Rattus norvegicus: one gene and its partners. The protein of the gene in region 2 interacts with the protein of the main gene of each other region in a biochemical or structural test. Links are inferred from orthologs where the notes say so. Each region holds a gene or a part of one and is shown on either strand. Other genes may lie near its edges.

Region 1 (3,759 bases), on a different chromosome or scaffold from region 2:
GGGAAGCCCTGGGTCCTGCTAAGACTGAACCCCCAGTGAACTAGACTATGCGGGGAGGGTGGCAATGGGGGGAGGTTTGGGAGGGGAACACCCATAAAGAAGGGGAGGGGGGAGGGTGATGTTTGTCCGGAAACCGGGAAAGGGAATAACACTTGAAATGTATATAAGAAATACTCAAGTTAATAATAAAAAAATAAAAAATAAATAAAAAAAAGGAATATTAGAAAACTCCAATCCGGAAAGATTGCATTTTGTAAAAAAAAAAAAAAAATCAAAGCAAGTTACTAAAATAAGCCTGAAGCAAACTGATACACCAGCATCACGGTAGAACTGCTCGGACGGACAAAATTTAGGAAAACATCACACAAGATGGTAAAGATCCCTTTGTGCAGCTGAGGAAGTCAGGACTAGGGCCTCCTAGACTCTTTGGACACTAACCACTTGTTTCTCACATACAGAAAGAAGGAAGAGGAAATCAGAGTTGGGTAGGGTAGGACTAAGCACCGTTGGCTCCAGAAAACACTTAGAGAGCAGAGAAGAAGAAATTTAAGCGAAGCAAGACTATCTTTAAGCAAGCATGCCTTGCAGCACAGGGATTAAAAGCAAGGCGTTAGGTGATTCAGAGTAAATTCAACCGCAAAGCTAGAGAATCACATCAGTAGCTGGAGAATCACATCAGTGACTTGAACTACCACCCATGTTAGAATACTTTAAAGACATGTTGCCATTTCCAAGAAAAGACCAGACTGCGGATAGATACACTAACAAATGTCACAGAAAGAAACTTCTCAACAGGAGGTCTGCAGAGACCCCATGGGCAGCAGCTAAGAGGCAGCTCCCCACAGAGAAGCTGAAGTAAATGTGTAAGAACACACAGAGAAGGAAGTAGGTGCTTGAAAATATCTTTAAAGTGAAGAGTTAAGTTTCTACGAATTATAAACCTTACATAGGTCTAAGACCAAAGACATATCATACCGTGTTATTTAGAATCAACCTAGAAAATAAGGACCCATTTGAAATATCTACTTTCTTGTGTATTGTTCATGTAGGTTGCTAAGCCAACAGTGTCCTAGGAAAAGCTCCCTTACTGAAACATCCTTAAATACCGCATGGTATCAATGTCGATGTGCCATGAAGGAAATAAAAGTGAGGGAGCATCCCCACCAATGAGCTTCTTCTCTCCCATGAAACCTGCTTGTGGGGAGGCTGACAGTTAGACAAACTGGAGGAGTCCTACGTGTGAACAAGAAACGGCATCAGAACCCATCCTAAAGGACAGGAAACAGCATCAGAACCCATCCTGAACGACAGGAAACGGCACCGAAACCCATCCTGAACAACAGGAAACGGCACCGGAACCCATCCTGAACGACAGGAAACAGCACCGGAACCTATCCTGAACAACAGGAAACGGCACCGGAACCCATCCTGAACGACAGGAAACCGCACCGGAACTCATCCTGAACGACAGGAAACGGCACCGGAACCCATCCTGAAGGACAGGAAACGGCACCGGAACCCATCCTGAAGGACAGGAAATGGCACCGGAACCCATCCTGAACGACAGGAAACGGCACCGAAACCTATCCTGAACGACAGGAAACGGCACCGGAACCCATCCTGAACGACAGGAAACGGCACCGGAACCCATCCTGAACGACAGGAAACCGCACCGGAACTCATCCTGAACGACAGGAAACGGCACCGGAACCCATCCTGAACGACAGGAAACGGCACCGGAACCCATCCTGAAGGACAGGAAACGGCACCGGAACTCATCCTGAACGACAGGAAACGGCACCGGAACCCATCCTGAACGACAGGAAACGGCACCGGAACCCATCCTGAACGACAGGAAATGGCACCGGAACCCATCCTGAACGACAGGAAACGGCACCGGAACCCATCCTGAACGACAGGAAATGGCACCGGAACCCACCCGGTTCACAGGAGGTCCAGGAAACAAATGAACTTAAAACTCATGGTGGGCTCCTCTGTGTGAGTTTAACTGTTTTCAGCACTTGCTATGGGTGGTTCGTGGTCAATGCCTTACCGCCTCCACTTCAGCAGGGTCGTACCAAACGTTGATGTACGGATGCTGCAATGCGTCATCCACCGATATCCTCTTCGCTGGGTCAATCACTAACATCTTTGACAACAAGTCCCTGGCTTGGCTGGCTGAAATGACAAAAGAGAACAGAGACTCCTAAGCTTTCATTTTGGCACGGGTGTTTATTGTCTGGAGAACAAGCTAAAAAAAGCCACAGTCATCCTAATATAGTCACATGCTATAAAAAGAAATGAAGCTTTCAATTTTTTGTCTCAAAATCTAAGTTACCACTTTGAGAGCTCTTTGAGGGCTATACGTTGTGAATACTCGAGTATGACTGTTCACTAAGAATTATAAATAGCATTTATCAGCCGTGAAGTTTGAATCGGTAAAGGAACTCGTGTGGCTCATCTGTAAGGATGCTACATGGACCGGATCGCGCATGGCGATCTACGGAAATGCACAGTTGAGAAGTAGAGGCGGATGAAGGAAATCAATCAATGTGCTTCCCTGTTCTCATACACAAAGCAGATCAGCAGAATTTAAGTAAAGTTCAAATTGACTTGCAGACCAATGTGTCCCAGATGCCCTCGATATGTAAAAGCAATCTGGGTGTTATAAAAACGACATTTTAACTACTGAGTTTTGTTGTAACATTCCACGTTCATCAGGCATTGAGATGCAGGAATCATGATTTGATGGAATCTGGTGGCTAAAGGCACCCCATACCATGGCTGACAGTAATAAAAATCTCCATATCGTGTACAAGGTGGCATGGTGAATTGTATGGTTGGGGCAGAGCTAGTTATGCAAACACGCTGTGGCAGTCAGAAAGGGTATTTGTTCAATAGCGCAATTTTTTGAAGTCGCATCCATTTTTGTGTTTGAAACATGTGTGTTCTCCCTCACCTGTGTGTGCAGACACACAAGTGTAAAAGTCAGAGTGCAACCTTGGGTACTGTCCTTCAAACACTGTGAACCTCTTTTATTTATCTGTTGAGACAGGCCTGGAACTTTATCTGTTAGATCACTCTGGCTGACCTGTCCACACCTCCTCAACACTGAGGTGACAAGCACAGGCTCAATCCTCCTCACCACTGGGAACATTAGCGCATGCTCAGTCCTCCTCACCACTGGCATGACAAGCGCATGATCAGTCCTCCTCACTACCAGGATCTTTAGCGCATGCTCAGTCTTCCTCAACACCAGATAATGAGTGCATGCTCAGTCCTTAACACTGGGATGATGGATGATAAGCACATGCTCAGTCTTCCTCAACACCGGGATGACAAGCGCATGCTCAGTCCTCAACACTGGGACGATGGATGACGACAAGCGCATGCTCCCTGCTCATCTTTTGTTACATGGGTTCTGGGAATCAAACCAAGGTCCCAGTGCTTACAAACAAGCACTTCACCACCTCAGTTGAAAACTTAGCCCTGAGGTCACATTGATCTTTAGTTTCTAAAGCATGTGAGGAGATTTGACATGAAGGGCTTTCTTAACAGGAATAAGTAATACTTTAAACCACTACTGTTGCTCAAATTATCTGGAAGTTTTAATAGGAAAAATAAATCAATGTGTTTCAAACACACAGTAAAGCTTCTGGTTCAAGAGAGTAAAACCACAGTTGGCTGAGCAATTTGAAATATTTCTATTTAATGACAGTGCTTCCTAGTAACTGACATCAATAATTAGGACTAAGTGTG
Region 2 (4,466 bases):
TCATCCACTCTACTTCTAGATGAGACCAATAAAGTTCAGAAAGTTCTGAGATTTGCACTTTTGCCCTGGGAGAACCAAGCTCGCCACCTCTTTAGTCAGTCTTAAGGGGTAGAGGGTGGAGGGCGGATAGCAGAACCTTAGAAAAGAAACAACTTACATGTGTCTAGCGCTTCCTAGAGGCCGCACAGGATATGAATCCACCATCGAGCGGGGAGGGGATTTTTCAGTCTTTCTACCAGGGACTCCTGCTTAAGCACCGTGACTCGGGGCGAGTCCGCAGCTCTCAAGGCTTGTTTTCCCAGAAGCAAATCAGGGAGGGAGGAAGGGCGGGCGCGAACTGAGTGTGCGCGGGGCTGTGTGTATGTGCTAGTGCAGGCGAGCGCTGGGGTTTCCTGAGTTTCGAACCTTTATATGTTGCTTTCCATACCCCAAGGAGCCGGGGTGGCATCTTTCACACCTAGAAGGGGGTCCCTCCGAGGTAAAGCGAACCCCTCCCGGCACGTCCCCAGAAAATGAAGTGTTGTGCCGGGGACCCTGGTGAATTCATTCCGAGCACAGCAAATCTCTGGTTTCCAGCACAGCACACTGCGGCGCAGATCCTTCTCCGAAACTAAACTTCCATGCGCACTCGGCGTGGGAGGGCCACTCTCAAACCCGCTCAACTTCAACCCACTTGCCGCTCCCGCACCCGGGGCGAACACAACCATATTAACCCGCGTCGCTCTGTCTCCCGGAAGTGCGGGGGTGCGGAGCCAGCTTCAATCGCCCAGATCATTCAGCCCTTTCACGGGTGTGTTCGTGTGTTCGTGTGTGTGTGTGTGTGTGTGTGTGTGTGTGTGTGTGTGTGTGTGTGTGTGTGTGTAACCTCTACTCCCACCCAAGCCCTCCGCCCCAGGCCACCAGCGCGTCTCCCCAGCTTTCTGGATCCCCGCGTCTCGGTCTGGGTCCCCAGCCCTGAACTTGAGCCCGCCTCCGACAGACTCCGCAAGGGTCCAGCGGACCCGGCAGCCTCCGTCACTAGACAGCCAAACCAAGACGTCAGCCCACAATGCACCGGGCGGGCCGGGAAAGACGCGCCGGGGAGGGAACCCGGGAACACAAGCCGGAGCAACGCGCGGGAGGGGGAGGGAGGTGGAGAAAGAAGGGCCCAACTGTAGGAGCGCAGCGGAGCATTACCTCATCCCGTGAGCCTTCGCGGGCCCAGAGAAGAATCTTCTAGGGTGAGGTCTCCATGGCGACGGGTGGGCCCGCCCCCTTGAGAGCGACGCAAGCCAATGGGAAGGCCTTGGGGTGACATCATGGGCTATTTTTAGGGATTGACTGGTAGCAGATAAGTGTTGAGCTCAGGCTGGATAAGGACTCAGAGTTGCACTGAGTGTGGCAGAGACTGCCTAGCTGGAGAGCGCTCAGGCAGACAGACAGACGGACGGACTCGGCTAACCTGGTCGTCCGCGGACTCCGGGCTGTTCATCTGTTTGTCTTCATTTTCTGACCAACTGCCTGGATCCAGCGCCCGCAGCTCCTGCACCGGTGTTTTGGGGAGCACTTGGAGAGTCCCTTCTCCCGCTTTTCCCGGAGAAGAAGCTCACAAGTCCCGGCACTGCTGACAGCATCGAGAACGGCTCCGGACCGCGCGAGGAAATAGGCGAGCGGCTACCGGCCAGCAACTTTCCTGACCCAGAGGACCGGGAACAAGTGGCCCGGAGCGAACTTTTGCAAAACCTCTTCTGCGCCTAAGGCTGCCACCGAGACCGTAAAGAAAAGGGAGAAGAGGAACCTATACTCATACCAGCTCGCACAGGCGGCTGAAGTTGGGCGAGTGCTAGCCGCGGCTGCCTAGCGTCCCCCTCCCCCTCACAGCGGAGGAGGGGACAGTTGTCGGAGGCCGGGCGGCAGAGCCCGATCGCGGGCTTCCACCAAGAATTCCGTGACGACTGGTCTGCGCCGCCGGAGAACCTCTGTCGCTGGGGCTGGTCCGCGGGCTCCGAGGAACCGCTGCTTCCCGAGAGCGCTCCGTGAGTGACCGCGACTTTTCAAAGCTCCGGATCGCGCGGGAGCCAACCAACGTGAGTGCAAGCGGTGTCTTAACCCTGCGCTCCCTGGAGCGAACTGGGGAGGAGGGCGCAGGGGGGAGCACTGCGGTCTGGAGCGCACGCTCCTAAACAAACTTTGTTACTGAAGCGGGGACGCGCGGGTATCCCCCGCTTCCCGGCGCGCTGTTGCGGCCCCGAAACTTCTGCGCACAGCCCAGGCTAACCCCGCGTGAAGTGACCGACTGTTCTATGACTGCAAAGATGGAAACGACCTTCTACGACGATGCCCTCAACGCCTCGTTCCTCCAGTCCGAGAGTGGCGCCTACGGCTACAGTAACCCTAAGATTCTGAAGCAGAGCATGACCTTGAACCTGGCCGACCCGGTGGGCAATCTGAAGCCGCACCTCCGAGCCAAGAACTCGGACCTTCTCACGTCGCCCGACGTCGGGCTGCTCAAGCTGGCGTCGCCGGAGCTGGAGCGCCTGATCATCCAGTCCAGCAATGGGCACATCACCACTACACCGACCCCCACTCAGTTCTTGTGCCCCAAGAACGTGACCGACGAGCAGGAGGGCTTCGCCGAAGGCTTCGTGCGCGCCCTAGCTGAACTGCATAGCCAGAATACGCTGCCCAGTGTCACCTCCGCGGCACAACCTGTCAGTGGGGCGGGCATGGTCGCTCCCGCTGTGGCCTCAGTAGCTGGCGCTGGCGGCGGCGGCGGCTACAGCGCCAGCCTGCACAGTGAGCCTCCGGTCTACGCCAACCTCAGCAACTTCAACCCGGGTGCGCTGAGCAGCGGCGGTGGGGCGCCCTCCTATGGCGCGACCGGGCTGGCCTTTCCATCGCAGCCCCAGCAGCAGCAGCAGCCGCCTCAGCCGCCGCACCACTTGCCCCAACAGATCCCGGTGCAGCACCCGCGGCTGCAGGCGCTGAAGGAAGAGCCGCAGACGGTGCCGGAGATGCCGGGAGAGACGCCGCCCTTGTCCCCCATCGACATGGAGTCTCAGGAGCGGATCAAGGCGGAGAGGAAGCGCATGAGGAACCGCATCGCTGCCTCCAAGTGCCGGAAAAGGAAGCTGGAGCGGATCGCCCGGCTAGAGGAAAAAGTGAAAACCTTGAAAGCGCAAAACTCCGAGCTGGCGTCCACGGCCAACATGCTCAGGGAACAGGTGGCACAGCTTAAACAGAAAGTCATGAACCACGTTAACAGTGGGTGCCAACTCATGCTAACGCAGCAGTTGCAAACGTTTTGAGGACAGACTGTCAGGGCTGAGGGGCAGTGGAAGAAAAAAATAACAGAGATAAACTTGAGAACTTGACTGGTTGCGACAGAGAAAAAAAAGTGTCCGAGTACTGAAGCCAAGGGTACACAAGATGGACTGGGTTGCGACCTGACGGCGCCCCCAGTGTGCTGGAGTGGGAAGGACGTGGCGCGCCTGGCTTTGGCGAGGAGCCAGAGAGCAGCGGCCTGTTGGCCGCCACGCTTTGCGAACGGGCTGTGCCCGCGCGACCAGAACGATGGACTTTTCGTTAACATTGACCAAGAACTGCATGGACCTAACATTCGATCTCATTCAGTATTAAGGGGGGTGGGTGGGGGCTTACAAACTGCAATAGAGACTGTAGATTGCTTCTGTAGTGCTCCGTAAGAACACAAAGCAGGGAGGGCTGGGAAGGGGAGGGAGGCTTGTGAGTACCAGGCTAGATTGCGGATGAACTCCCCTGGCCTGCCTCTCTCAACTATGTATGTACATATATTTTTTTTTAATTTGATGAAAGCTGATTACTGTCTATAATAAACAGCTTCCTGCCTTTGTAAGTTATTCCATGTTTGTTTGTTTGGGTGTCCTACCCAGTGTTTGTAAATAAGAGATTTGAAGCATTCTGAGTTTACCATTTGTAATAAAGTATATAATTTTTTTATGTTTTGTTTCTGAAAATTTTCAGAAAGGATATTTAAGAAAACACAATAAACCATTGAGAAGTAGCCCCCAACCTCTCTGCTGCATTATCGATAGATAATGAGAGCTAGGTGAAATGACAGCTGAGTGTCTGTATGCTGGGGTGAGAGCCTGTAGTCCCTCCCGTCTGGTTGTAGGAATAGACACCCTGCATGCTATCATTGGCTCATACTCTCTCTCTCCCCAGCAACCCACAAGTCCAGACTGTTGACCAGAAGATGGTGCAGTGTTTCTTAAGGCTGGAAGAAGAGGGTGTTGCAAGGGGAGAGGGACAGCCCACTGGGAAAGCAGACGCTTGAGTTGAGAGCCATATCAAGTAGCATGCGCTGTGATCGTTTATAATAATAATAAAGACTTCAGCAATTAGATGTTTATCTCAAAGCAGGGACCCATGGAAGGTTTTACAAAAGGTGTCTCCTTCCAACTTGGATTCTGACGACTCCTAGAAAAAGATGACCTTTGCTTGTGCAT
Region 3 (3,759 bases), on a different chromosome or scaffold from region 2:
CTTTGTGCAGGAGGAATGCTAGCACTTGCCTGGTGGTGTCACTGAATGATCTCTGGCTTGGATTAGGGAGTCACACTCAGGGATTGGCCACAAGGTGCCAGGAATGATCACAGTACGTCCTCCTAGGAGGGCTGGATCTTATGTTCACACACGATGGCAGACACCAACTGCTACATACATTGTCTTCCCTGCTCTCTACGGCCCTCCCTAGTGAGAGCCTTGAGTATCAAAGGCTTCCTGGAGGTCCCCACAGGCTCTGTGTCTACTGACATCAGCTACTACTTCAGCTGACCAGCTCCCCTAGGACATTGACTTCATTCCACTTCCTGCAAAGCTGCTGTTGGGGGTGGGGGCTCCTTGGGTAAGGCACTTTTGGGTTCCCCTGAATGGCTGTGTGGTAAGGCTGGGGGGGGGGTGCAGACTCCTAATGCATCTGTGTTCCTAGGCTGTACGTGTCATGGTTGAGCCTTTACTACACGTGTGGCTTTCAGCTGCCTAGGCCCTCAACCACGAAGCCTGCAATTTAGAGTTCTGCTCAACTCTGAGACCACAGAACACTTTTCTGCAGTTCGGCCAATCACTTGTGCTTGGCTTTTTAATATGACAAGACTCATAATGGCCAACCCCCCACCCCCCAAAAATGAAGAAATTAGGAAACCACATGTCTCCAGCATTTCAATGCTAGCAAAGAGGCCGCATTAAGCGTCAAAGGGCTGCAGGGTTATAGGTGGTTTTTGTTTTGTTTTGTTTTGTTTTTTAATCCCTAATTATTGCTTTAACAGGTAAAGCCGTGTCAGAGGCAATCAAACACCTGAAAGAAAGAAGCATAGCATTTCCTTCATACATCATGGAAACAAAACTACAACTAAAATATTTGGAAATGGGAGTTATCATAAAAAAAAAAAATCACATTATGCCTGAAGGAATTGAAATTGCTTAGCAATATTTCCGATATGGCTCTAGCCCACTGAAGAAACTTGTTATTTAAGAAGAAGCACTTTTAGAGACCGAAGTCAACAGACCATTACACTAAGAAATGTTCCAAATGTCCAAATGTCATTAAATAATTATAAATATATCTTTAAAGTTATATGACCATTCACGTTAGCAAGTTACTTCAGATTTTACACATATTCATAACTTAAAAAAGGAAAAAAAGAAAGTAAAAACAAACAACACACAGCCAACTCAAACACTATATCATTATGGCTATAATAAGATATTGCCATTTTCAGTTTTGCATAAAGGGAGAAGCAGGAGGCACGGGGGAGGGGAATGGGACTTATTTTTTGGTTAAATGGGGGAAGTGAGGGAATATTTTAAAAAAGTAAAATAAAATAATCTGTCCTGATCAGTATTTTTGAAGTCACTTTCTTAGAATAGAAAAAAAAAAAAAAAAAGAGTGAACTCAAAAGTTCAAACGCATACCTGCATCAAGTCTGAAGGGAAGCTTTGGAACAGGTATTCAGAGTGGACGGTAGGGGAAGCAGCCACGCTGCCTCTCGTCCCTTTCCGAGTGCACCACAGCTTTGTAAGCTGGTCTGCAGAGTGCACAGGCCTCCACACAGCAGAGGCCTTGATTTGGTTGCAAAGCACAGGGAGGAAGTGGCCGTTCTTCCTCCCGGACCCAGAGTCCACCTCTCTGAATTGTTGTGGGAACAGGTCACTTACGAAACCAGACCAGATAACACCTTTGACGGTCTGCTCCTTGGTAGAGGAGACATCTTAAATAGTAAACAATATGAAACCCAGTAATGACTGTCCCCACACTCTTAGGGTTGCCAGATCACAACTGGGGAGTGAATGAGAAATCTTCTAGATAGCTAATCAATATACATATATAGGCACTCTCTTTATATATGTATATATTAACACATGTGGGACGTGGCCACTGCATGCCACTGGGCCATGCACGGTTGACAGACTTCAATAGGGTCGCCAGACAGACTCATCCATTCTGCCGCTAGAATTCAAAACGGTTGGGGAGCTGCTGTGGCTTCCATCAGCGTCAACACCATCATTCTGGTTAGGCAAATTTGGATTTAATAGCGTGCTGCCATTCGAGGTGGTCGTGCACGGTGGGACCATCCTGGAAGGAGACCGGTCTCCCCCGGGGACCATTGGGAACTGATAGGACGCTGACGAAGTACCATAGTAGAGATATGGAGTGCTGCTGGTCTGGAAGGGTCCGCTCTGGCTTTGGGAAGAGCCGGGGTAGGGTGGTGGCAGGTACGTGTGGTAGTGAGTGGTGGCGGACATGCCCAGGGACATGCCTGACGTGACTGGCGGGGTGTAAGTGAAGGTGGCTGGATAGTGCATTCGTGGGTTGGAGAAGCGGCTCTCAGTGAGGGATGAAATGCCTGGGAACTGCCTGGGGTCTGAAAAAGGGCCCAGTTCTGAAGCACCTAAAAAAATTACAACAGAAGACGGGGAGGGGGGGGAAACATCTGTAAATATCAATTAAAATGATAGAGACGTTACAAGATTTTTTTTAAAAAAAAATTAAAAAGAAGGGAAAAGAGGAAGCTTTCTCCCAAGGACCAGCAAGTCACATACAGGTTTTCAAATGTACTTCTCACCTCAGACTTTACTTGTCCACCTTACTGTCTCAATGCTATTTAGCCCTGAGTTCTCCTCCACACCCAGAGAGTCCCAAAGGGCTTTCACCAGCAAGTGCCAACTAGGCCCTGTGTGGAAGCCAGCCCAACTCCAGGCACAGGATCACTCACCAGACTTTAAGGCTGGATCTTCATTGATCCCCCACTCCCACCCACACACACACACACACATCCCTTCCTTTTTGTTTCTTATTGCACGGAGTGAAACTTTTACTAAATCAGATCAACTGATTCTTCCTAACTCAGTGTAAAAAGATAAATCCCAAGTAATAGGATTAGTGTCCCCTTTGGGGGTGGAGGTAAGGATGGGGGCGGGGGATGGGTTTCTTTGTTAAGAAAAGTGCATCAAACAGATTCCCTTAACATAGTCTTACTATTTCTTCTTAACCTTTAAGAGAATTTAAAAATCTTATGGTAATTCTCATCTTAGTCACAGCGAAATCAGAGTAGATTTCAGTAATCTAACACTATCTAGCTTTTGCCCGGGGGTGTCGGGGAAGGCCTAGCCCTCAGAAATTCTCCCTTGAGTCATAAACTAGATAAGAAGGTATCGAGAGGGAGGGTGGAGGATGGGGGTGGGGGGATGTGGTGGAAGGGTGGAGGGTGGGGTGAGGACCTTGACAGAGAGCCTTGATAAATGACACAGGACCTGATTTAGGCCAGGGACCCACAGCAGCTTTCATTAGAACCCAGTGCCTTGGAGAGATTGAGCTGAGAGACTCATTGCCAGCTCCCTGTCCCCTGCACTAGAGTGAGCTCTGGGTCTTTCAAAGCTTAGATGTCTTCCTAGAACTTTCACAAGTTATCAGTGTCTCCTTAGGAGATGTCTCTGCTGTCTAACTCATCAAAGTGTGGCTAGAAGACTTTGCACGTGGAAACTAGTTTCCTGAAATGGATAAAACGCATAGCTGTGATTTAGGGGTTCACTATAATTTTCTAGAACCAACAGAATTACAAGACCTTTTGTTTCATCCATCCATGTTTACGTGCTAAGTCTGTGATGTCTTCTGGAGCCCCCCTCACTGCTCGACTTAGATTCTCAATCTGCCTTTGCTACAGGTTTTAGCTGTAACAGAAAGTGCCGGGCAGATCTGGAGACCATAATTGTCCCTCAGCCTGATTTGTACTCAACCCTTCTTCT
Region 4 (4,226 bases), on a different chromosome or scaffold from region 2:
CCAGGTGTCCTGTCTCCAGTTTGGACCCTCAGACTTCCCACTTCATTTCTTTGATTCTAGGAATCTGGGGAGGGAACAGAAAGGAAGTTCTGGTTTAACCTCTGAGGTAACATCACCACACGACACAAGTTGTCTCCACTCGTGAGAAATGGAGCACTACAAAGAAAAGCCATGATGATAAACACTTCAGGTCCCAGTTGTGCACACGACCCCATGCTGCGAACAGTCAACCTTTGACACAGATGTCCTATATAACCTGATGGGCCAGGTAAAGGTCTACTTGACATCTACTTAATAGCCTTCTTTCTGTTAGCAAAAGATACCAGTCCTGGCTAGGGTTTCCTCCATCTCTGCACGGAAAAAAATTCTAAGTCTCCATGGAAGTTTCCTTGCTGAGCCAACAAAGGTAACTTGCAGTATCACTCACTGCATGTCCCTGACGAGTCAGAAACGGATTCATCTTCCTGCAGCCACTGGCTCCTTGCAAAATTTTGCCTAAGTGTCTTTAACTTTTCCGTGTGCCTCTAGCATATCATCTGGGGTATGGGTGCAATATTTGCATCAATGCAACTACAGTCCAGGAAAAAAATGCTTTAAAAAAGTTATAATAATAAATCGTTGCTGTTTATTTTGTCTAAGAAAGTATCAGATATATATAGATGATATATATTATATATAGATTAATACTATATTATATATATGTGTGTGTGTGTGTGTGTGTGTGTGTGTGTGTGTGTGTGTGTGTCATCCTGAATGGCAGAAGACAATTTCTTGGACCAAATGAAATTTTGTTGCTTTGTTGCCATGAAGTTCGGTGGCTTGGAAACTTTCCTCCTTTTAATTTTGAGAATGGATTTCACTATATCTTGAATACACTACGTAGCCCCCAGGTTCACTTCCAACTTGCATTCCTTGAACACCTTTTTGACTTTTTTTTTTTTAAAGCCACTGTAAAGTCACTTCAAATAGTGAAAATGGACTGCAGCAGAGGCCTGCCTAGCTCTATCTTACTGGTGGAGCAGCTCAATGAAGTTCCTCAGACACAGTTCGTTTTTTTTTTTTTTTCATCAATAACTGAAGTAATGGAATCAAATGCTTTCAAATCCCACATACTTGATATTAAATTACCAAAACACACGCTTCGGCTATTTGGTGTGATCTAAAACACGTGCGGCCAGGGGCTCGCTCTCACTCGCTGCCAGCCTGAAAGGTCCACTGTAGGTATGTGAACTGACAGAATACACATGATGTTTCCCAGATCCCAAATCTGTCTCTTCCCCATAAACATGCACAGCGCGTATAAACAAGCCATTCTTACGGAAAGGGCCTATTAGCTGAGTTCATATCCCTTCCCTGTGAGCTAGCCCTTCCCTTCTGCTGTATGTGGTTTCAATCCATCGTAACACAGAGAACTCCTGGCTCCCTCGAACACCCCAAAACAACCTTCGCGGCACCATTTCTATCTGTAGCCCTGGGTGCCTGAGACGTCTGCACAGCGCTAGGAGAGACCCCCAGCTCAGCCTGGCTCTGACTGCCACCACACTGTGACAAGCCCAGTTTTTGTACAGAGCAATCCTGCCCTTGAATATCAGGAGAGTCTCTGGAAGGGATGGGACCCAAATGCCTCTATTAACACTTTGAAGTACATCAGAATGTCAACACCTCATCTTGGCTTGTATGTAAAGTATAAAGAACAGGTTAAATATGCAGTTCTTCCTGGCAGAGGCAAGGATCAGGGACAGCAGCAACCCTTACGGCTAATCAGACCCAACAGAGGTCTGTGTCTTTGACAGCTGATTATTTTCCAAAACGTATCCCCTTCTCCCTGTATCTCTCTACATCCTTTCACCTCCCAAGTCACCTTTCCTTGAGACCAGTTTCCTTTCTAAAAGTAGGCACACTCCCTGACGCCCTGCTAGCTTCAGGAATCCTGAAGAGTTGACTCCATCTGTGGAACACTAAAATTCCCTTCTAAGACAAAATTCGATGTCTTTTCTCTCCCTCTCCTCTTCAAATCCTTTAAGCCTGCTAAATGAAACCATGAACCAAAGACACTAAGTCACATCTGGTTGGTGGATGCTTTTCTTCTTCGAGGACCTTTGGTATGGGAAGCCAAACTGAACGGGGAAGGAATCAGACTTTCCCAAAGTTTAAACAGATTCATTTTATTTCTCCTCCCACTACCTCCTCCTCAACCTAGAAAAGAGGGGTGAGACTCTAAGGTTCTTATGACAGGGGAGCTCAGGATACAAGTGCTGGAAGGCCAGGCAGCTAGCCAAATACCCTTTCAGCACTCCACAGGACCCTCCCATCAAGCTCCAGTACTGGGGAGACACAGTTGGGAGGGGCATGGGGGTGACCTGAGAGGCACTGTCAGGCCCCCTTGCTAACATTAAGGAATACTACCAGAAGGTTCTCGCTTATGTGGGAAAATTGAAACACCGGAATTGGGGCACTGGAAATTCTATAAGCTTTTTCCCATTAGTCACAAAAAACGCAGCTGTAAAAATAAATAGACCACCACCACCACCCCCAAAAAACCCAAGGGTCTCAGGCCACCAACAGTCTCCTGGTCTAGACATCCCGGGCTCCTGAGAGAGCAGCGCAGGCCAGAGGGGACACGGAGCTGGGGTGGGGGCCTCACTGTCGCCACTCACCCGGGGATGGGAAAAGCTCCAAATCCACTTTTTCTGTCTTGATGATGGTGAGAGTCGGCTTGAGATCGACGGCCGCCTTCATGGTGCCGGAGTTGAGGGGGCCGGCGGGATGAGAGCAAGTTTGCTGTAACTGTTGTTTTGCTTTTTAATAGGGATTTTGAACTCAGGGGAAGGGGACAGAGCGCAGCCCTAAAATCTCAAATTCCCGCTGATCGCCCGGCAGAAAGGTGCGCGCCCAGCCAGTCGGCGCGAAGTTGGCACTTGGCGGAGCAGAGAGCGCGCTTGGGTCCCAGCCTCGCCCGCGCCTCGCCCGCTCGCTCCTCTGTCCCGGGCGCTCGCTCACTCTCTCGGCTGGCCGGCGCTGGCGCAGTGAGGCTCGCCTCCGCTTTAGGGCGTTCCTCACCGAGCCCAGGCCCAGGATCCCAGCGCCTGCCCTGCCCACTCGACCGGGCGGCGGGGATGGGGCGGCGGGGCGGGGCCTAGCGCCTGCAGCCAATCATCACCCGCGTTCCAAAAGCGAAAGGAAGGGCGGGCGAGCCTGGCGGGGCGGCGCCGCTCCAGCTACTCTGCGCGCGCCGGGCCAGAGCCTCGGCCCACCGCTCCGGAGAATGGCTGGCGAGCGGGTCGCTGGCGTGCAGAGTCTCGGGAAAGTCCGTCTGATTCTGCACGCATTCTTAGAGGCTTGGTCACCCGCTGCGGCCCCGCTCCAGTAGCAGCATAGTTTTCCAAGTGCGTGTACATCATTCATTCACAAAGCTTGACACACAGGACATGAGGCGTGGGTGCGCAACGAGGGGCGCGTGCGGGGGGGCTTCCACAGCGGGGGGGGTCCTGCGAGGATTCCAGCCTAGACGTGACTCAGAATCCCACCCGTGGAATGGATGGGCAAGGCAAGGACAGCATTGCTGAACAGAAACCTCAATCGGCTTCACTAGCTCAGAACCATGCCTATTGAAGATCCCAAAGACTCAAAGTTCCAAAGCTCCTGGATTAGCCAAGGGAATCCAGAACTTGTAACTGTGTTTTAATTATTCTGTTTATATATATATATATATATATATATATATATATATATATATATATATATATATCAAGATGAGTGAGAATAACCGATAGATAATTTGCCGCTGATAGCCATTATACATCGAGATAGTTGGTATAAATGAACAAATCTTCCAAGGCATGGTACCGTAAGTGTAGCTGAAGCCAGCAAGGTATTGACATCTACCTTTGAATAAAAGACAACGTAATAAATCGTCCTGAGAGACCTCAGGGAAAGCTATTCTTAGTACTGTTTCCTGATTTCTAAGCATGTGTTGAACTGCTACCACTTGCCTGCAACTGTAACTTCTGCTCCAGTAAACTTATTCACACCTGCTGACTTTTAGCTAAGCATGTTTTGCCCCTTGGAGCCTTAGCAGTGTACGGGATTCCCAAAACAAATCAGGCGGGTGGGGTGGGGACAGCAATAGAGTGTCAATCTCTGGGTCTTGGTCACATCTCCCATCTCCACCCTTCTTGGGTGACCAGAGGAAAATATGTGTATGTGATAATCCTTGTTTTGTTTTG
Region 5 (3,759 bases), on a different chromosome or scaffold from region 2:
AGGAACCATTTTTTAAAATGGTGTTTGCATTTCAGAGATTAAAAGCTGCTTTGACCCAGCAACACCCTCCAGTTACCAATGGTGATACTGTAAAAGGCCACGGCAGTGGATTGGTTAGGGCCCAGTCAGAAGAGTCTCGTCCACAGTCCTTGCAGCAGCCAGCCACGTCCACTACAGAGACTCCGGTACGTGTGTTGCTTTCACCGTTCACCATTCTGGTCATCCTTAAAAAGAAAATACAGTACAGCTTAGTGACTTCTTTATATAATTATAGTCTATAAGCTTATGAGTAGAGTATAAATATAGCCATCTTAATTTGATATTTGTTTTGTGTTGATAAAGAATAATTTTTCAAGTTTATCCTTTGGATCACATGCTAGTAGTCAGAAGGTCTCGTTCCTCAGCATCATATCCAAGAGGTTTATTTGATTTTATTTTGTTTTGTCTCCCACACTGTGACAGTCTGTGGCATGGTTTGGGATTTGTAAGACTAAGAGGGCACCTAACATTGGACAGTTCTATTATGCAGTCTGATTAATGACTAAAGATTTATATCCTGGGCTGAATAAACTGGTCCATTAATGAAAAGCCAAAGGCCCCTATGGGGCTCTCCACACCTGGAAAATAAATATTGTAGAAATAACTATTTTAATGCAACTGGCATATTTAATATTTTTTACTTCAAAATAGAATTGAAAAAAGTTATAAATTTATAGTGACTGGTTTTCAAAGAATTAATGATATAAAATCAGTTAAAAATAGCATTTGTAAAAATAGTTTATCAAAATACACATAATTTTTTTTCTTTTATTGTCTAGCTGTGGGTTTCTGTAGTTTTTCCCATATGCTGCTGAAGGAATTTTGTCTGATAATGGCTGAAAAAGGCATGGATCTATGAGTATAGTAGAATTTCTTTAGCAAGACACTAAAAAATACATTTTAAGGAAGTCATTGACTATATATTGCATTGAGCATTTCACTATCACATAGTTATTGAAAAGGGATTCAGCCATAGGGTGAATTTTGTTCCACAGTGCTGATGTCATCAAGGCATACAACATAAAGTTAGCAACCCTCCCTTTTATACTGTGTCTTGCCCCTGTTAATTTACTTACTGCACACTCACACGTAAGCTCTCCATATTGTCACAGGCGTCTCCAGCTCACACAACTCCACAGACCCAAAATACAAGTGGCCGTCGAAGAAGAGCAGCTAATGAAGATCCTGATGAGAAAAGGAGGAAGTTTCTAGAACGAAATAGAGCAGCAGCTTCAAGATGCCGTCAAAAAAGGAAAGTATGGGTTCAGTCCTTAGAGAAGAAAGCAGAAGACTTGAGCTCACTAAATGGCCAGCTGCAGGTATGGGCGTAAATGCAGTTTACTTCTATTGATTAGTTAGGAACACAGTTTTTTGGGTTTTTTGTTTTGTTTTGTTTTGTTTTTTTCTTTTTGGCTTAGTTGTTTGGTTTGGTTTGGTTTTGTATGTGTGGCTTTTTAAGTCAAGGTTTCGCTATTTAGCCCTGCTGTCCTGGAACTCCCTCTATAGACCTGGCTGGCCTCCAACTCAGAGAGCCTCCTGCCTCTGCCTCCTGAATGCTGGGTTTAAAGGTGTGCACCACTACCTCTGGCTAGGAACATAGTTTTTACATTTCTCTCTACATGATCCTGCAAATACTTTAGGACATGATATATGCAGCATGTATGTGGACTCGGTGGTAAGCCATGGTTTCCTAAACTTTGTGAATTCTGACCTGAAGTATTACTAAGCTTTCAGCCCAGGCACAATGAAGAAATTTTATCTGTAACTGTTTATTTGTGTGGTACACAAATACTGTAATTACCTTGCTTGAACTTTATAAAGTTGTTATTTTAGGTTTATTAACCACAAAGTTGTTCAGTGGCAGTTTTTACATTCTTTCTTTGAATTACAGTTCTATTGTTCTTTCTTTTTTTTATTTTATCTTAAGTAACTAGTGCATATGAAAGGTGCCAGATTGACAAGCTTTGGAAACTGAAGGCTTCTAATTATCCACAGGACAGATACTGTTCGGCCAAGTGCCATAACAAATTATTTTATACTGCCCTGCTGATGTGCCTCAAATACATTTCTTAGGATCTCATGTGTTATAAAGATTTTAAGGCTCTCCATTTAGCTGTTTGGTAAGTGTCTTAGGGTTTCTATTCCTACACAAAACATCATGACTGAGAAGCAAGCTGGTGAGGAAAGGGTTTATCCAGCTTACACTTCCACATTGCTGTTCATCACCAAAGGAAGTCAGGACTGGAACTCAAGCAGGTCAGGAAGCAGGAACTGATGCAGAGGCCATGGAGGGATGCTGCTTACTGACTTGCTTCCTCTTGCTTGCTCAGCTTGCTCTCTTATAGAACCCAAGACCACCAGCCTAGGAATGGCACCACCCGCAATGGGCTGGGCCCGCCCCCCTTGGTCACTAGTTGAGAAAATGCCTTACAGCTGGGTCTCATGGAGGCGTTTCCTCAACTGAGGCTTCTTTCTCTGTGATAACTTCAGCTTGTGTCAAGTCAACACATAAAATCAGCCACTACAGTAAAATTTGCAATAAAAGTATCAGTACCAAATGTGTTTCTCTCCTTCCTTCCTTCTTTCTTTCCTTTATCGCTTTCATTCTTTCTTTGTTTTTGTCATTTTGCTTTTGATATTGTGAATATTCTTCAGTAGTATCTTTTGAACTAACAATTAACTAGAAATTAATGTTAATAAATTATAGTTGTATATTATAGGTCAAGTTTTTGTTTGTTTAACACCAGGACTAGAAGTTAGGGCTGCAATATTCTACTACATTGCCTCCTTTATTATTTTGAAGTTTTAGCATAGGGAGCTAAATTGCCCAAACTTGCTTAAACTCAAGATCTTCTGGTCTCAGCTTTCCAAGTAGCTGGTGTTGTAAATATATGAATAGATCAATCTTTTGAATTATCCATTCCCTGTTTTAAGTGACTCTTCCTATATAAATACAACTTACAGTAAGAGGGACAACTTGCTTCTTAAACCTATGTTAAAGGTGCCACAAATAAAATTGTTTAAATTGTGTCCTGTATAACACTTACCCAAACTAAATTTTATAACAATAAAATTTTCCTATGTGAGACAGACAGACATCCTTAAAAGCCTTTGTTGCATTTTGTATATTGATTTGGTTATTTTAAGACAAACTGATTGCCTCTTAAAAAACTTATTTTAGCCACCTCTAACTTGTAATTTGAAAAAAGATTAATCATGACTTACTAAACAGCATAAACTCCAAATATATACTAGAATTTAGTAAGAAATATCATTATCCTGACAAATGAATTTACTAAAAAATAGTTTCTTAGAGTAGATTTCATTTCTCTTTTAAGTAAAAATGAAACATTATACATACACTGATGTACATGTAGACCATGAAAACTATTCTTTGCCAAACCTAATTAAAATATCAATCACTATTATTTACATTATCAGATACTCATGCTAAATGAATTAAATATATCTTTTTATTGTTCTTAAAACTTTTTAAAAGTTTTTTGAAATTATAATTTACATACGTATCTCTCCCCCTTTACTCCCTCCAAACTCAGAATATACTCCTTCCACTCTCCTTCAAATTCATGACCTTGTTTTTTGTTTCAACAAATTATTACTTCATACACACACACACACACACACACACACACACACACACACACATACTAAATATAACCTGTTGAGTCTATATAATGCTGTGTGCATGCTTTGAGACTG
Region 6 (3,759 bases), on a different chromosome or scaffold from region 2:
AAAAATGGTGAAATGTTTTACTGAATCTCACAGTTTGTGTTCTGCCCATCGTGTGGCCCAAAGTCACCAGTCACAATGACCTAAGTTATTGTGAGCCAATTTAGTCACCAGACGTGATACTATCCAGTTGGAAGTTTTAGCTTTCAAGTAAATATTTTAAATAAATATCACTGTGTGGCCTCAATGACAGGAGGCCGCTACTAGCTACTAGTTGGGTTCAAATTCCAAGCCCACCCGTGACAGATACGCACCTCTGCCGCTCCGACCGACAAACCTGAGGTCGTTGAATCTCGCCACTTGGTTCTTCATGGCCGCGGTGGCGTTTCTCAGCTCCGCCGAGTAGTTTTCGTCATTGCCCGCCATGACGGTGACCAGAGTGCCATCCGGAACGTCGCCCAGCGCTACCACCTAGGCACCAACCAAAGGGACAAAGGCAGACGTCAGTGTCATAGGTACGTGACTGTGTGTGGCACTTAACGGTGACGCTTTCTAGTTTTCAGAAGAACCGTCATAACTCGAGTATCGTGACGGGAAAGAGCTTGCTGTGAGCGGTGGGCGTGGATTTCCAAATAAGGAAGACATGGAGATTAAAGGGAGAAAGCCACAGGAGGACACAGTTGGGGACAAGGCAAACAGGGACGGGGACTGGAAAGCTACCATTTCTCATCAGTATCCCATACAACCTCAGATCTGAAAGACTGGAAGTCTTGTGTTTGTAGATTTGTGATCTAATCCGACTTTTAAAAAAGATTTGCTTTAGTATTTTGGATTAAGTGTATGTGGGTGGTCATGTTCTTGAAGGCCATGAAGGCCAGAGGCACAGAGGACCCTGGGACTAGAGTTGTAGGCAGACGTGAGCCACCTGACATAGGTTCTGGGAGTCAGAACCATTCTCTGATCACGTATCATAGGTTCTCAACTACTGAGCTGTCTCTCTGGCCCCACCTTTTACTTGCCTGGCCCCCATGGCTTGGCTGCTATTCGATTCTCTTAGCACTACGGTTTCATGATGCAGCCTAGAATGGCCTTGAACTCACGGTCCTCTTGCCTTAGCCGGTGAGGCCAGGGTTCACAGGTATGTGCCACCAAGCTGGCGTCTTTTGACTTCAGCTAAGTTTTTCAGTCTTTACTTGATTTGGCTCTCTTTGCCTTGTTCCATTTTCAAAGTGGCCACGGGGTTTCAAATCTAAATGTCTTGAGAGTCCGGTTTGTTCCAACCACTCCAGACACAGGTTGTCAGTCTGCAGTGAAATTTCTGGCTTTTATCCTAGTTGTGTGGCCCTCCTCAGGCAGGTTTTCTCGGGTCAGTAGGGGTGAGCGTCGCTTCACCTGCTGCCACACTGTCTTTTCAGTTTTTGCACACCCTTGGCTGCACAACCCATCGGAGGGATATTTCTCCTTCTGTACGTACGAAATGACTAACCTTGCCACAGATCTGCTAATCTGGCATTCATACCCAGTCCCTCTGCTCGCCACCCTTACTGATGAAGTCATGCCCCCTTCTCGCTGTTCCACATCCTGCAGATGGCTATGTGGGTGATATTATTCATCATGGCTGCTCCATACCCGAGTTCTAAAGAACATAGGTCAGGAGATTGCCCCAGCCACCTTGAGGGATGGACAGACAGGACGCCAGGCCATCACCAGGACGCCCTGCCCTCTGGTACTGGGTACAGGTAGGTGCCTTGCTATCTCTGTAATTTTTATCTGTTTTCAGCTACTTACTTTGTGAAACAAGGACCCAGCCCCTTGCCTCTGCTTTTAACCCTTTCATGTCAACTGTTGGACACGTTTTCTACAAAGGAGATTTTAAAACTCTTATTCTCCAAGCAATCTGTAATTAGATGTTTCTATCCCACCACAAGTGTTTGATGGCCTTTAATTAGGGGTGGTAATATGACAACTCTTTTGTTTCAAAGGACATCACTGCCGTAAATCTCCCAGCCTGGTTAATTGATCGTTATTGTCTTTCTACTCCTACAAAATGCTACTCCTGTAAATTCTGATTTTAGTCTAATTTTTCCCCCATTTCTTTCTTCGTTCACCCCCCATCCCCCCACTGCATAGTTCACTCATGGTGTTGAATAGTGTCCTCTGTGAAAATGCTTCACTTCCTTGTCCTCATCTCCCTACAGAGACCTAGGCTTTTCCAGTTCATCTCAACACCCACTGGGCATCCAGGGTACCGAATCTACAGCAGGGCTTCCAAACTGAATGGCTGACTCTCCGGGCCATGTCTCCTAGGAGACTAAAGTGAGTACATCCTGTCCCTTAGCACCCAAAAGCATGCTGAGTCATGGAACTCCTGCCAGGCCTCAGTGTGCCTCAGTTTACCACTGTTGCTCCAGTGACCCCCCCCCCCCCATTACCGAGAGAACAAACCCTAGAGGCCCTCTCATCTACAGCATGAGAGGACCATGGTGGCTAAGAAAAGCTTGTTGGTGATGGAATTCAAAAGTCTAAAAATTAGGAGTTTAACTAGCAACACCCCCATTTCTAAAGGAAGTGGGAAGGGGGCATCCGGGGGCCCAGTTATCACTTCTCTGGCCTTTTTTTTTTTAACTTATCTCCAAAGAGTTTTGAAGGAGTAGGGAAGGAGACAAAACTAAATCCAGGGACATTTAACACCATGCTTAAACCAATGACAAGTGCACTTAGGCTAGGTTATTAGTGTTACTGTTGTTTTATATAAAGCTAAGATGTCTTCCGATTGGATATAGGTTTTGTTAATGAGAGACGATTATAAAAAGGATGAGAGGAAAAAAAAATCAAACTTCAAACAGAAATGCGAAGCGGCATCTGCAGTACAAAGCCATAAACAATAGGTAAGGGAGAGAAACATTTACGTTTAGCACAGACCAAACAGACAAGAAGGGACTTGCTGGCCAAAGATAGCTCATATTTTGTTGAACTTCTCTCTTCTTCAAGTATCAGGAAGTTGGGCAAAATATCAGCTGCCCTCTCCGCTCTAAGGACTTCCCAGCACTGCTCTTGGCTAGCCGGTTCTCAGTTTGAAACTGGCATTTTCCAACAATTTTAGAGGCTGAAGTTAAAGTTAGCAATTTATTTACTGCAAATTTCTTAATCTTCCTGAGTTTCAAAGAGGCCGTGGAGTGGAATGTATAATTTATCTGAGATGATATTTAATGCATAGCTAGGGATTGTGGTCTTCCTGCCAGAATTATATTTATTTATTTATTTTTATGAAAAGCATACTCCATCAGCACCCATGGTCTTTGAACTTCCTGGCTGAAGGTATGTTTCTATCTTTGTGCTCCGGTGTACCAGGGGCTAAACAAACTATACTATTACAGTGTTACAAAATCTATTGCAAGTCACCTAAGCCACTTTGTAGGCGGCATCTGCAAACACTGCTTAGAATGTAGCAGACTTCCCAATCTCTCAGCATTGAAACGGTTTCTCTGTGCTAAAAGGTCAGGTGTGCAGGTGCAGAGAGGGGTAGGAGGACCATGAGCAACATTTTAATCTATTTTCAAGGAATTCGTGATTTTAAATCTCTTGACAATTCTGAAGATTGAAGCGGAGGACTTAACAAAACTTCAGCAGATTCTGGAAGACGCTCTCCCTATGATCTGAACGCACTGCTTCCCATGATCTGATTTTTATCTCAGGGGATAGGATAATTCCTGCAGGATTAACCCCTAAAGAGATGCCTGGGTCTTAATTTAAAAGTGAATGTGAACAACCTTTTCCGGTAGAACCCACCTCAGTGTGTTTGGTAGGGACTGGCACACAGAG
Region 7 (4,280 bases), on a different chromosome or scaffold from region 2:
GTGGGAAGAACCCAGGGGGCTGGAACTGAGAGGAAGAGGCCTGTGAATACATAAGCAAAGCAGTAGACTGGAAAGACCCAACAGAATCAGACTGGAAGAACTGGCGATGGCCACAGTGCTGTCATCATGCCCCATCCCCTGGGTAGAGGATGACTGGCTGTCCCTGTGGCTGTCCTGTGAGAATGGCTGTCCCTGTGGCTGTCCTGCAAGGATGGCTGTCCCTGTGGCTGTCCTGCAAGGATGGCTGTCCCTGTGGGTATCCTGTGAGAATGGCTGTCCCTGTGGCTGTCCTGCATGGATGGCTGTCCTTGTGGCTGTCCTGCCAGAATGGCTGCCCTGACCGCAGGCTTACCTCGTGAAGCTTGTCAGCCTTCTGTGTCTGCTTCTTTCGGCTCCTCTGAGCTGCAACCCGGTTTTTCTCTCTTCTTCGAACCTTCCTGTCATCATCCTTGGGGCTCTGGGGATGACATGTGGGGAGGTGAGACTCTCAACCTTTCTCGATTTGCTCACAGAGCTTTCATCTGGTGCCCTGGATGGGGTCCCCTGCGGCCCCGTGGGCTGCTGAAAGCCTTTGTCAGGAGGACCCTTTCTGTGCTGGGGCTTTGCTACATTGATCTCCACTCCCATCCTGGAAAGTGCACAGAACGACTGTCGGTTTAAAATGAGGAATAAGAGGTCTGGGTGTAGCTCAGTGGCACCATATATGTGTGGGATATGTGAGGCCCCGGACCACAAAAAAATAAAAACACTAAGAGACAAGGAGGAATAAGAAACTCAGGTTAGGGAAGTTCTCCAGGTATCATGGCCAGCATGAGGGTGAGTGGGAAGTGGAACTCAGGTCTGCTGGTCCTCAAACCAATGCTCACAAGCCTCTGCCCTGCAGGGCTTCTGCCTGGAAGAGCGCTACTGTCACTGTTCATCCACTAGTGAGAAAGACCGGGGTATGTGCTCTCTAGAACTTGCTGTGCACAGCCTTTAACGACCGCACACTGTCGAGTCCTTCTGAAACTGTGTACAGACCATAATTATGCAGTTAGTACCAATCTCAACCACACAACTCTACCAGTACATGGAAAACTGTGGAACACCAATGACAACATGCTCTCTTGAACAATGCCTGGCTGACATTTTCTTTTCAGGGGCCAGGGGCTATCCCAAATGCAAATCTGTGATTCGTCTTGAGAGTTCTTAACCAAACATCCAAAAATTCTTCATGAGGTGGCACAAAGTGGGCAGGCAGAAAAAATGCCCTTGTCACAGTGAGGGGCTTACTCAGCGGAAAGGGTTTGCTTTCCAGAACTGCATTAGACACTGTCAGGGGAGGAAAAAAATTGTCTAGAAGGTGTCTAGATGGGGAGGGAACTTAGCGACAGGCTCTTGCCTGGCCAGGTGAGGCTCGGTATAATCCCAAGCCATGATAAAACCCAGAGGCTGGTGTACAAACCCAGGGCTTCAGCCAAGAATCTCCAGCATAGGTAAGAAGAGACATCAGACTCAACACTGGGGGTGGCATGGAGACATCATTCAGGAGAACACAGGTGTCAAAACATGTCTCCCAGAAGTCCTCCTCCTCCCCTCCTCCCCCTCTTCTTCAACAGAGACTCATGTAGCCCAGGTTGGCCCTTCCCTTTCCTTCCTAGCTCTGGGATTCTATTTCTGCATCACCACACCCAAAAGGTCTTACAAACATATGTGGAGCATCCGGGGGACATGCCACATGAACAACGTAACCAGCTTTACACCCTCACAAACCCTATTAGATGCATGACCCCCAACCTTCCAATGTATATAGTAACTGAGATCCTGCCCTGCACTCAGGATACTGCTCCCCTAATATAACCTGAGATTTGACCTCACTGTGCTTGACAGGAAATAATGCCTCTTTAGTCTCCAAAGCCGACAAGTCTGGGAGCCTCCTGTCCTCTGGGAGCTGTCACTGTAAACTGGACCCATCACCTGTCACGGAGGATCGCACCTCCCCACTCAGCAGGAATGTCATATGGAGACACAAATCACCCATCGCTCACATAACCTGTGTACACATCCTCAGGAGAGAGATGCTATAGAGTTCATCTTATAGATGGGGAAACCGAGGCTCGGCTAGTCAGAAGCAAATAGTAGTACAAGGCCACCCCAACTACTTGGCTCAGACTTCCAGGGTCGCCCTGGGACACTACACATCAAGTAGAGAGTTGGGAGTCTTTGGGGGAGTGACTAAGAAATATAAGACCTGGTCTGGATAAAGGTGGCCAAGAAGTGTTCCAACAGTGGTCTCAAGTTGGCCCTCGATTTGGTCTCAGCTTCTTGTGACTGCAGCTTTGAAAGTTAGGGACAGCAGGGAGGGCTGATCGTATTGGGGCAAGGAGTTTCCACCCGTGCTGGGGGTGGAGTCTGCCCACTAGAGACACAACCCCACACCCGCAGGTTGACCGGTCCGATGTTCCCCATACGGATCTCAACCAGTAGGTTGGATGCAGGGACGAACCGCCCCTTTGGGCTGAATTCGTAATATCAGAGCTCCAGGCTCCCTCCCTCCAGCTCCCACAGGAGGCAAGGATGCAGCGGCCCCCAGCAGCGCGGACCCACGTGTCCGGCGCCGAGTCCGGAGCGGCTGCAGCCTTTCCAAGCGCTCGAGGCGCACCGAGGGGACTCACCTGGAGCTCTGGCCTCACCCTCACCCGGTCCCCGCACCCGGCCCCCACGTCCACTACCTGCGGCTGGTTCCCAGGCGCCGCCACGCTGCTCTGCAGCACGCCGCCCGCGGGGGGCCCTTGCGACATGCCGCGCGCTCGCCACACGGGGCGCCCTGAACGCGGGGCTCTGCTACCCGCGCTCCGCCCGCATCCCCGCACCTGCCGCCCCGCCCCGCTGCTTCCCGCTCTCCGGGCTTGGCCGTGCCCGCCTCCCCACCCCGCGTCCAGTCCCGGCCCGTCCCCGCCCCCTGCTCCCACCCCGCCCCTGCTTCCTCCTCTCCCCGCCCTCTCGCCGCACCTCGGGGTCCAGGATCCCACCCAAGTCGCTGCTTTCCGCTAAAGGCCAGGCGCTTCGTGGAAGTCACGTGGCAGCACCGAAGCCCACCCACGGAGGAGACCCCGCGTGGGTGGGGACGAGGTGCTGGCGCGGCGCCGCCTTGGACGGTCCTCCGGCCGCTCCGGGGAAGTTCGGACGAAGTGGCTTCACTGTCCCTTCGCTGCCTCCCCTCTACTCCCAAGCGCGGGTTACCGGCGATGGGGGGCATTTCTTCCGGGCGACGTGGCACCTGGACCGGAGGCGCCAGTGGGCAGGGACAGCGGCGGAGACCCTCCGCGCGAACGGGGCAGCGGGAGCCTCAGGGCTTTTCTACCGCAGCGTCGTCCGGTCCAGTAGGAGGGAGGGGGCGAGGTGACTCGGAGGGCGGATTCTGATGGGGGTTGGGGGAAGGCGGCAAAAGGAGGTTGTGAACTGAAACTGTGAAAGGTGTCCTCCACACTAGCCGTCCATCCTCACGTATTCAGGGATATGGGCAGGCCGTGCTGCTTCTGCTTCTTAAGATTAAGGTGATACCTACTAAAGACTAAACTACATGGTTGCCACGTTTATGCCAGACTAGGTAGAGACATATCTCACCCCTCTTCACCTGCCTGCCGGGTTTTAAAATACCAAGTCAAGATGACTGTGCCCAGCAAAGAAAAACAACACACAAAAAACCCTAACAGGTGCAGACTTGTGGTCTGTGCTTAGGGGAGAAAAGCTAACCGCGAACTGGGGGGACAGGTGAGAACCAGACAAGTGTGGCCTTTCTCACGTGTTCATTTTGGCCTTCTGGCTTCTGGGCAGTGGGAGAGGTGACCTTCCTGAGTCCCCACCCGGTGCGCATGGCTCTGTGCCAGGATTTAAGACCTCAGCCTGGAGAGAGGAACTTGTTTGAACCTGCCTGGCTGGCTTCAGGCTCGAGGAGAGATGGTCATATGTGTTAGTAGGTCATAGCATAGCCAGTGTTCATGAACCATGCATTAATAGAAGAGCCTTTCCATGCTATGAGTTCCGCCCAAATCCCTCTTCTAGCAACAACATAAAGAGTGTGTGCGCGCGTGCATGTGTGTATGTGTGTGTGTGTGGGTGTGTGAGAGAGAGAGAATGTGTGTGTGACTGTATATGTGAGAGAGAATGTGTGTGTTGTGTATGTGAGAAAGAGAGAATGTGTGTGCGTGTGTGTATGAGAGAGAGAGAGAGAGAGAGAGAGAGAGAGAGAGAGAGAGAGAGAGGGAGGAGGAGGAGGAGAGAGTGAAGAGACAGACAAG

The links.
Region 1: of the proteins of Jun (region 2) and Mapk10, one has a biochemical effect on the other in vitro, tested with the Homo sapiens proteins (7 studies listed by BioGRID and IntAct, with this or other methods). The link is inferred for Rattus norvegicus from reciprocal best matches to the Homo sapiens genes JUN and MAPK10.
Region 3: the proteins of Jun (region 2) and Runx2 form a complex in vitro, tested with the Homo sapiens proteins (2 studies listed by BioGRID). The link is inferred for Rattus norvegicus from reciprocal best matches to the Homo sapiens genes JUN and RUNX2.
Region 4: the proteins of Jun (region 2) and Ets1 form a complex in vitro, tested with the Homo sapiens proteins (2 studies listed by BioGRID). The link is inferred for Rattus norvegicus from reciprocal best matches to the Homo sapiens genes JUN and ETS1.
Region 5: the proteins of Jun (region 2) and Atf2 form a complex in vitro, tested with the Homo sapiens proteins (4 studies listed by BioGRID and IntAct, with this or other methods). The link is inferred for Rattus norvegicus from reciprocal best matches to the Homo sapiens genes JUN and ATF2.
Region 6: the proteins of Jun (region 2) and Runx1 form a complex in vitro, tested with the Homo sapiens proteins (2 studies listed by BioGRID). The link is inferred for Rattus norvegicus from reciprocal best matches to the Homo sapiens genes JUN and RUNX1.
Region 7: the proteins of Jun (region 2) and Batf3 form a complex in vitro, tested with the Homo sapiens proteins (2 studies listed by BioGRID and IntAct, with this or other methods). The link is inferred for Rattus norvegicus from reciprocal best matches to the Homo sapiens genes JUN and BATF3.

The regions. Positions count from the first base shown.
Region 1 is NC_086032.1:7,039,746-7,043,504, reverse strand, and holds part of Mapk10 (mitogen-activated protein kinase 10), read right to left. Parts: intron 2,179-3,759; coding exon 2,054-2,178; intron 1-2,053. UniProt on the Homo sapiens protein: Serine/threonine-protein kinase involved in various processes such as neuronal proliferation, differentiation, migration and programmed cell death.
Region 2 is NC_086023.1:115,009,952-115,014,417, reverse strand, and holds the start of Jun (transcription factor Jun), read left to right. Parts: upstream 1-1,424; 5' UTR 1,425-2,282; coding exon 2,283-3,287; 3' UTR 3,288-4,466. UniProt on the Homo sapiens protein: Transcription factor that recognizes and binds to the AP-1 consensus motif 5'-TGA[GC]TCA-3'.
Region 3 is NC_086027.1:23,867,513-23,871,271, reverse strand, and holds part of Runx2 (runt-related transcription factor 2), read right to left. Parts: intron 2,406-3,759; coding exon 1,927-2,405; 3' UTR 1-1,926. UniProt on the Homo sapiens protein: Transcription factor involved in osteoblastic differentiation and skeletal morphogenesis. Essential for the maturation of osteoblasts and both intramembranous and endochondral ossification.
Region 4 is NC_086026.1:39,362,219-39,366,444, reverse strand, and holds the start of Ets1 (protein C-ets-1), read right to left. Parts: upstream 3,019-4,226; 5' UTR 2,740-3,018; coding exon 2,658-2,739; intron 1-2,657. UniProt on the Homo sapiens protein: Transcription factor. Directly controls the expression of cytokine and chemokine genes in a wide variety of different cellular contexts. May control the differentiation, survival and proliferation of lymphoid cells.
Region 5 is NC_086021.1:79,136,515-79,140,273, reverse strand, and holds part of Atf2 (cyclic AMP-dependent transcription factor ATF-2), read left to right. Parts: exon of another isoform or gene 1-35; coding exon 36-185; exon of another isoform or gene 186-224; intron 225-1,115; exon of another isoform or gene 1,116-1,151; coding exon 1,152-1,358; intron 1,359-3,759. UniProt on the Homo sapiens protein: Transcriptional activator which regulates the transcription of various genes, including those involved in anti-apoptosis, cell growth, and DNA damage response.
Region 6 is NC_086029.1:45,414,568-45,418,326, forward strand, and holds part of Runx1 (runt-related transcription factor 1), read right to left. Parts: intron 409-3,759; coding exon 252-408; intron 1-251.
Region 7 is NC_086031.1:105,219,327-105,223,606, reverse strand, and holds the start of Batf3 (basic leucine zipper transcriptional factor ATF-like 3), read right to left. Parts: upstream 2,826-4,280; 5' UTR 2,781-2,825; coding exon 2,712-2,780; intron 458-2,711; coding exon 353-457; intron 1-352. UniProt on the Homo sapiens protein: AP-1 family transcription factor that controls the differentiation of CD8(+) thymic conventional dendritic cells in the immune system.